2 linked regions of the Coturnix japonica genome follow. The protein of the gene in region 1 interacts with the protein of each later gene in a pairwise test. Links are inferred from orthologs where the notes say so. Each region holds a gene or a part of one and is shown in the gene's direction. Other genes may lie near its edges.

Evidence for each region. The genes of interacting proteins can lie anywhere in the genome.
Region 2: the proteins of GCC1 (region 1) and CEP57 interact in binary tests that used the Homo sapiens proteins (3 or more experiments, as listed by UniProt). The two-hybrid records come from large-scale screens. The link is inferred for Coturnix japonica from reciprocal best matches to the Homo sapiens genes GCC1 and CEP57.

What each region holds. Positions count from the first base shown.
Region 1 is NC_029516.1:516,555-521,320, forward strand, and holds the start of GCC1 (GRIP and coiled-coil domain-containing protein 1), read left to right. Parts: upstream 1-1,680; 5' UTR 1,681-1,873; coding exon 1,874-3,007; intron 3,008-4,203; coding exon 4,204-4,766. UniProt on the Homo sapiens protein: Probably involved in maintaining Golgi structure.
Region 2 is NC_029516.1:165,700,514-165,704,723, reverse strand, and holds part of CEP57 (centrosomal protein of 57 kDa), read left to right. Parts: intron 1-257; coding exon 258-437; intron 438-726; coding exon 727-848; intron 849-2,488; coding exon 2,489-2,602; intron 2,603-4,210. UniProt on the Homo sapiens protein: Centrosomal protein which may be required for microtubule attachment to centrosomes. May act by forming ring-like structures around microtubules. Mediates nuclear translocation and mitogenic activity of the internalized growth factor FGF2, but that of FGF1.

The sequences.
Region 1 (4,766 bases):
CCCATCTCCATCCTTACCCCATCTCCATCCCACTCCTCATCCATCTTCCTCTTTCTCTTTATCTCCACCCCATTCCATCTTCATTTTTCATCCTATTATGCATCCCATCCTCATCTTCATCCCCATCCCACCTTCATCTCCATCCCATCCATCCTCATCCCTCCCCATCCCATCTTTCATCCTCACCCACATCCTCATCCCATCCTCCCCTTCATCCTTATCTTCATCTACATCCCATCCTCATCCCCACCCCCATCCCAACCCCATTTCCATTGCACACTCATCCTCACGCTGATCTCCATCCCATCCTCATCCCCATCCTATATTCATTCACACCCCCATCCCACCTACATCTCCATCCCCATCCCCATCTCCACCTCATCCTCATCTTCATCCCATTCCCATCCCATCTTCATCTTCATTCTTATTATCATCCCACCTTCATTCTCATTCCCATCTCATCTTCATCCCCATCCCATCTTCATCCTCACCCACATCCTCATCCCATCCTCCCCATCATCCTTATCTTCATTCCCATCCCCATCCTCATCCCATCTTCCTCTTCATCTTCATTCTTATTCCATTCCATCTCATTCCTCATCCCCATTCCCATCTCATCTCATTCTTATTATCATCCCATCCTCATCCCCATCCCATCTTCATCTTCATCCTCACCCACATCCTCATCCCATCCTCCCCTTAATCCTTATCTTCATCCCCATCCCATCCCATCCTCATCCTCATCCCTATCCCACCTTCATTCCCATCCTCATCCCATCCCTATCCCATCTTCATCATCCTCACCCATCACATCCTCATCCCATCCTCCCCTTTTCATGCCCTTCATCCTTACCTTCCTCCCATCTCCATCCTTACCCCATCTCCATCCCCATCCTCATCCCATCTTCCTCTTCATCTTTATCTCCACCCCCATCCCATCTTCATCTTCATCCTTATTATCATCCCATCCTCATCTTCATCCCCATCCCACCTTCATCTCCATCCCATCCCATCCTCATCATCATCCCTATCCCATCCTCATCCCATCTTCATCCTCATCCCATCCTCCCCTTAATCTTTATCTTCATCTCCATCCCATCCCATCTTCATTTTCATCCTCACCCATCCCATCCTCATCCCATCCTCCCCTTCATCCTCATCTTCATCCCATCCCCATCCTTACCCCATCTTCATCCCATCTTCCTCTTCCTCTTCATTCTTATCATTCCATCTTCATCCTCATCCCCATCCCATCCTCATCCTCATCCCTACCCCATTCTCATCTTCATCCCTATCCCCATCCTCATCCCATCCTCATCCCATCTTCATCCTCACCCCCATCCTCATCCCATCCTCCCCTCCATCCCATCCCCATCCCATCCCCCCCCTCACCCCATCCTCATCCTCATTCATACAACGATGCCCCGCCCCCTCATTAAGCCCCGCCCCCAGACTACAAGGCCACGCCCCCAATCCTATTAGCCCCGCCCCCTCTGCTCCGTTCTGACACCTGATTGGTGGCCGCTCCTCGCCCCAAACCCTTCACTTTGCGCATGCGCAGCGTGGGGTGCGTCACCTCCAGTGGGCGGGGCTTAACGTGCAGGGCGGAAGTGGGTGGGAGGGCGGAAGTTAAACAAGGCGGAAGTAGGTGGGAGGGCGGAAGTAGTAGGGGCGGAAGTTAAACGAGGCGGAAGTAGGTGGGAGGGCGGAAGTTAAGCAGGCCGGAAGTAGGTGTGCGGCGGCGCTCTGGCTGCCGGTACCGACTCGTTGGTTGGGCCTGGAGGCCGCGGCCTGCTGTGGCCCGGCCCGGTCCGGAGGTAAGGCCTGAGCCCTGCGACCTACCCGCCCCCAGGCCCACCCCCATCCCGGAACCATGGAGAAATTCGGTATGAACTTCGGAGGAGGCCCGAGTAAAAAAGAACTGCTGGAAACCATCGAGTCGCAGAAGAAGCAGCTCCTGAATTACCAGGCCAGGCTGAAGGACGTGGTCATCGCCTACAAGAGCCTCATCAACGAGAAGGAGGCCTTGGAGGCCAGCCTGAAGGTGTTATCGGCGTCCCACGAGGCCGACATTGGGTTAAATGGGGCTCAGGCTCCATTTGTGGCCCCCTCCAGCTCTTCCTTTGCCTCCAGCTCTTCCCTTCCCTCCAACTCTTCTTTCCCCTCCAGCTCTTCCCTCCCCTCCGGCTCTTCCCCTCCTTCCAGCTCTCCCCATGTTGATCCCATGGATGATAAGAGCTCAGTTCACAGCGAGGACAGCATGGGAACGGCCGCCAGCGTGGACACAACAACCAGTTTGGGCAGCACGAAGGGCGAGCAGGGACCTGAGGATGAGAAACACGCAGCAGCTGTTAAATCAGATGAGGGGAATGGTTCCGAGGTCGGTACTGGTACCAGTAACAGCAATGGGGACGTGCCCTGTGCTGCCATTGAGGCCGATAAGCGGGTGCTGCAGCTGAAGAGCCAATTGGCCACATTGACCAGCGCCCTGTCCACGGTGACGCAGGAGAAGTCCCGCATGGAAGCGTCATATCAAGCCGACAAGAAGAAGATGAAGCAGGACCTGGATGACGCCATTAAAAAGGCGGAGGATGAGACTGACAGGTTGGAGACGGAGCTGAGGGTTGTACAGGAGCAGCTGGCAGAGACCAAAGCTCGACTGATCACGCAGCAGCACGACCGAGCCCAGGAGCAGAGCGACCACGCTGTTATGCTGAGGGAGCTGCAGAAGCTGCTGCAGAGCGAGAGGGCGTTGAGGCAGGACGCTGAGCTGAAGCTGGAGGAGACCAGGGAGGCATTGGCCGGCCGGGTGTGCATGGCTGATCGTGCTGAGGGCTACGAGCTGCAGATCAAGCAGCTGAGCCAGGAGGTGGAGGAGCTGAAGAGAGAACTGCAGGCTGTTCAGGAGGAGAGGAAGAAGCCGGACCCCCGGGTGCAAGACCTGCAGGAGGAGATGGCCAACCTGAAGAGCCACTTCCAAGCGCAGCTGCTGCAGGAGATGAGGAAGGTAATTCCCTGCTTGAGCCCTAGAGCAGCCCAATGTAGGGGGTACCAGAGCAGCAGATGGAGGCTTGAGGAGCCCAAATTCTCCCTGTGCCACATGCCACAAAGTCCGAAAGATTTCAGATAGGAGAAAATACCATAGTTTCATCTGATGGGATCATATACCCTGAGGAAAATTAAAGCTGTTGGCAATGCAGTGTATAAATCAGTTAACCACGGGTGGTTTAGGAGCAGTCTTTGTGGGAGTTACGTGGTGAGCATCGCTTGGTTCCGAGCAGCAGCTGGATTTGGGAGGAGAGCAGTGGCAATGAGCGTGCTCTCATCATAAATGCAATGCAAGGTTCGGTTCGGACTCTCTTAAAGGGAACTGACCTCCACATCCCCCTGCATGGAACTGTAATAGGTGAGCGGTGAGGCAGGTGGGCGATAAGGGCGGCCTGCTGAGCGAGGTGCTGGGCTGTGCATCTTGCTGTGTGTCTCTGCAGGCTGTGGGGCAGAGGGATGGAGGGCTTTGCTGCTGAGTTGGCAGCTGGAAGGACACCAGCATGGGATCCTCATTTCCCCACAGTCTGGAATAAGTTTTCAGCTTTCTAATCTGAAGCCTCTAATTATCAGCTTCGGGCTGATGGGATGCGATTAACCTTGTTTTGGAAGTGATACCCAGCAGCTTCTGTACGACAGGGCTGAGGATGGGCTGATCCCAGCTGTGTTTTGGCTCACAGTGGGGACTGAGGAGTGGTGCCACCTTCCACGTGCTCTTTAGGAGGTCAGATCTCGATGGTGATAGAAGCTGTGAGCTCCAGTGTTTGCTGTAGCTACTCAGAGCCCACTGAATTACGTTAATATTGGTGTAACAAAGCTTAGCATTTAGGTACAGTTAGGTGTAGGAAAGCTTTAGGGCACACTCAGACATGAAAAAATCCCACAGTGAGGTGAGCTTTGTGCTTCATGCCCTGCACATGCCTCCAGCAATGCACATTAATGCTGCTAACAGCAGGGAACAAATACAGAAACGCACTCGGTTTGTTTCATCCTTGAGTCTCTGTTTTAAAGATGGGCGTGTGAGAGTGTGGGGTGGGGGAGGATTGTTTGGAAACTAGGGAAAGGGTGTCCCTGTGCTTGCTTGGAGTTGTTCAGAGCAGAATGAAGGCCTGTGTAATTGCAGGGTGGTCTAACACCGCTGCATTTCTTTGCTTACAGACTGCACAAGCAGAGGAGCAGCTCCGGCAGCACGCCCAGATGGAGGAGCAGCGCGTGGCCGACCTGGAGGGGCAGGTCTCTGAGGTGTCAGGGCTGCTGGGCACCTACGAGAAGGCCAAACAGAAGGACCAAATGGTCATCCAGAAACTGAAGGATCGCATCGTGCAGCTGGACCAGGAGAACAAAACCTTGGCCATCGCAGCCTCCAGCCGATCCCCTGCTGATGTGAACGTGGAAGAAGCCAATCTGGATGTGAACGTTCTCAAGGATAAGATGGAGAAGCTGAAGAAGCTGCTGCAGGTGGCAGCAAAGAAGAGTCAGCCCACGCTGGACATCGAGAAGCTGTGTGAGCTGGAGCTGCCAAAAGGTACCGAGGCCGGGGATGGTGAGAAGGCCACGGCTCTGTACTATCAGCAGGAGCTGAAGCAGCTGAAGGAAGAGTTTGAAAGGTACAAGATGAGGGCACAAGTGGTTCTCAAGAACAAGTCAGCCAAAGATGGCAACCTGGCCAAAGAACTGGAGGAAGCTCAGGAGCAACTGGCGGACCTGAAGGAGAAATACGT
Region 2 (4,210 bases), about 170 Mb from region 1:
AGAGAAGTCGCTGCTGCTTTAATTGTTCAGCTGTCACTTTTAATTCCCAGTTGATAAGACAGGAGGTGCCCTGTTTGCACTTTATCTACAGGATATTTGCCTGGCTCCTGCTGAGCAATGGGAGCTTCATTCATGGAGGCAATCCTGGCTGGTGGGGGGGAGCACTCTCTTTCTTATGTAGCAAACCTTTCAAGGTAACATCAAACTTGAACCATGCTTATAATAGCAACTAACAAAAGATACTCACTCAATTACAGCAATATTTTCTGCTCTGAGGAATCTTCAGGAGAAAATTCGTCGGCTGGAGTTGGAACGGCTTCAGGCAGAGGAGAACGTCAAACACCTCAGCAGAGAAACAGCAGACTACAAGAAAGTACTGAGTGAGCAAATGAAGCACAGAGAGCGCGACAGAACTGAAGTGTCAAAGAAAAATCAAGGTTGGTTGCTGTAGGTAACACTGAATGTTGAGGTGGATGAAGTCTGGGCTTCATCAGTGTGTGAAGCTGACTTTGTTCGGTCTCTATTTGGTAGCGAAGCATGGAGTTTTGTTGATTTAAAAGCTGACTTTGTTCTGGGGGGGTTTGCATGTGTGTAAGAGTTGATTCGGCTTTATCTGAGTTTTAGATGAGCCTTTCCTTGCTTGTTTTTGAAGCGTCCTGAAGATGTTAAAAAACAACCCCAACGAGCAGCCCTTAATCTCACTTTTTGGCCTTCTGTTACTTGCAGAACTGGCTTCTCAGCTGGCGGCTGCTGAGTCTCGGTACAGCCTGTTAGAGAAACAGCTGGACTACATGAGAAAGATGATCCAGCACGCGGAAAGGGAGAAGACGCAGCTCTTGGAGAAGCAGGTGTGTTCTCAGGATTGAATGGGCAAAAAACTATAATGGTATTAACTCTGTCCTTATATTTTAGAGTTAATGCCTTCAGGTGTGGATGTCTGTTTGAGCTGGCCTTTATATACTTGGCTGTGAATAATTGCCCTGTTTAATTTTCAGTGTTGTTAGGACCCTGGTATTTATTTGCTTTTTACCTTTGTACATCTGTCTCTATGGCAATACCAAAGGCTCCGGTATTACTGTGTCATGCACCAGCAAGTAATTCTCACTTGCCTTAGCTCCTGTGCCTTGGAGTAAAATAACTGTCAATGGACAAACCTTCCCTTTTGTCATTGGCTTTAAAATCTATTGAGATTTTATCAGGGAAAGTACTAATTGAAAGAAATGATGGTGAATTATTTTTCCTGTCATTGGCTATTGTGGGATTTGCCCTATATCAGAAATGAACTTGAACTTTCTCTCATGGGTGTGTGGATCACCCAGGGCTCTCTGTTCATTTGCTTCTGTGGCTCCCCTATTTCAGACTATTAAACATTTACTGAAGGATTAAAATAAAGAAAATTGCCTCTAATTGCTGAGCAATAATATTTTATTTTTGTCATATTTGGTTTGGAAGGAGGGGAGGCTGCAGAATCTTTATCTGAGTCTGGCTTGATGTGAGATTCCCAGCATGGGTGGAGTTCCCAGCCGTGGCAATGCCTTATTTTACTGTGCCAATGCTCCTTAGTTGTAGCACCACTTAACACTGGATAGATGAAGTAGTTCTTTTGCAGTCCTTCCTTGTGTTGCAGTTATAAGGCCGAGGTTAACAGCATGAGTTTCAATAGGGCCAAGTGTTGGGTCCTGCATTTCGGTTGCAACAACCCCAGGCAACCCTACAGGCTTGGGGAGGTGTGGCTGGAAAGCTGCCTGATGGAAAGGGACCTTGGTGTGCTGATGGACAGTTGGCTGAATATGAGCCAGTGATGTGCCCAGGTGGCCAAGAAAGCCAATGCCATCCTGTCTTGTATCAGGAATGGTGTGGTGAGCAGGACTAGGGAAGTCATCCTGCCCCTGTACTCACCATTGGTGAGGCCTCACCTCGAGTACTGTGTTCAGTTTTTGGCACCTCGGTACAAAAAGGACATGGAGGTGCTGGAGCAGGTCCAGAAGAGAAGGGCAATGAGGCTTGTGAAGGGCTTGGAGAATCAGCCCTAAGAGGCTGAGGGAACTGGAGCTGTTCAGTCTGAGGAAAAGGAGGCTGAGGGGAGACCTTATCGCTCTCTTCCAGTATCTGAAAGGTTCTTAAAGTGAGAGCGGGACAAGTCTCTTCTCACCGGTGACAGGATGAGGGGAAATGGCCTCAAGTTGTGTCAAGGTAAGTTTAGGTTGGATGTGAGGAAACACTTCTTTACAGAAAGCATGGTTAAACACTGGAATAGGCTCCCCAGGGAGGTGGTTTAATCGCCATCCCTGGATATGTTTAAGAGCCATTTGGATGTGGTGCTCAGATATGATTTAGCAGAGGGTTGTTAGAGTTAGGATACTATGGTTAGGCTGCAGTTGGACTTGTTGATCTTAAGGTCTTTTCCAACCTGGGTAATTCTCTGATTTTATATGTGTGCTTGTTTTCCTGTGCTTATAATCATTTGCCTTTTTACTTCTCCTTCAAGGATTCATTGGAGAGAGAACGGCTCGATCAATCACGTGTTCAGTCAAAGCTGGAGAAGCTGGACTTGTTGGAGAAGGAGTACACCAGGCTTACTACAATGCAGTCCATGGCAGAGGTCTGTTGTGTGTGCTGTAACAGATAAAAATCTTGCTTACTGTATGCAGCACTTTGTAGCTATATGACAATAACAGAGCTGTGTGTGTTGTTGGTTCTGTTTTCAGTTGGTTTGTGTTTGTTAGTTCTTTTTTTTTTTTTAATTGCCACTTGCCTTAAGAAATGCAGTTATTTTGTGGGCAGAATTCTGCAGTCTGGCATTGCCTGCCCTCCAGCCCTGGTTGGCTGGCAATGCATTTAATCTGCTTTTTCAGGATACATTTTGAACCAGTAGCTTTTAAAAGTTCAGCATGGCCATGTTCGGTCATATCTGTTTCTTTGTACCATCTGTGCTGTTGGCTTCTGAAATCCAATCCTCATCCTTTCTACTGCTGGAGAGACACCACAGGACTCTGAAGTATGAGAACTACAAAAGGCTTTAAAGAGGGAGAGGCTTTTACCTGCTGATTTTCTCCCCCCTTTTAGAGCAGGCAGTGTGTTGTTGGAAGGTGGTACTGGGGATAGTTCTGGACTCAAACATGTTCCTGTTTTAACCTTGCTGTGCAAGTGTTATCCAGACTCTGACTGAACAGAGGTTGTGTGTGTGCTTTTTAATCGTTGAGCTGTTACTCAGTATTGCCTTCAAGACACATAAAGATGTAAAAAGGAGGTACTGAGATTCACATTCATGTGATGGTCTCCTCATCAGAGCGTGCAACTCCCAAGTGCATTAGTGTAAGAGCAGTGTAATGGTAGTCCTGCAGTGCCTGGACAGCTGACTGAGAGGATCTGAGCATGCCTGTGTCTGATGATGGAGGCTGTTCTCTATAAGCGTGGCAAGGGCTCTGGTTTTTGCATATCATCTATAATTTGAATATATGTGCATGTTGTGTGCTTTAAAGAATTGTTGTTGCTAGTCATCTTGTCTTAATGCTAACCATGAGACAAAACCAGAGCGCTGTTCTGTGAGCAGCAGAAGCAATGAGCTTCCTGTTGTGGCTGTGCTGCCTACCCCTCCTGTTTTTCTTATCTTCCCTAATTGCCAGGTGGTGAGAAGCAGCAGCTGCCCTGCTGAAGCCATGCACATGCTGGCTTCTCAGCTGCCAAGCAAATGCTGATTCGCAGGGCACTGAAGCACAGAGGTAGAGCTGTCTTCACACCAGAGATGTTTTCTGCCTTGTAGACCTGGTTGGGTGTTTGTTCTAGTAGCCAGCTACTAGGAAATGAACACATCCTGTATCTTTGAGCTCTCATACCTTTCCATTTCAGGTTGTTTGAGACTTAGTTCAGTGCTTACCTCTTGGTGATAGCTGAGGATTCTACGTTACCTGTGGGATATAACCATTCTGAGAGCTGAGCTTGGAAGGGGGATTTTGGAATACTATTTGATTGCAGGAAAGGAGAAAAATGCTTTGGGAATATCACTGAATTTCCACAGTGTTTCTGTCACTGAAGATGTAGTGAGACACGTTCTTGCTGCACAACTTGAGCTATACCCTCCAGCTAAAACAACTGACTGAGTGAATGCTTGGTCTATTTTTGTGCCAAAGCATTGGTTTGGCTTCCTGTCAGTCTTCAGCTCAAACAAAAGGTTTGCTTCTGCATTCGCATATTAAAGCTGTCATATGCA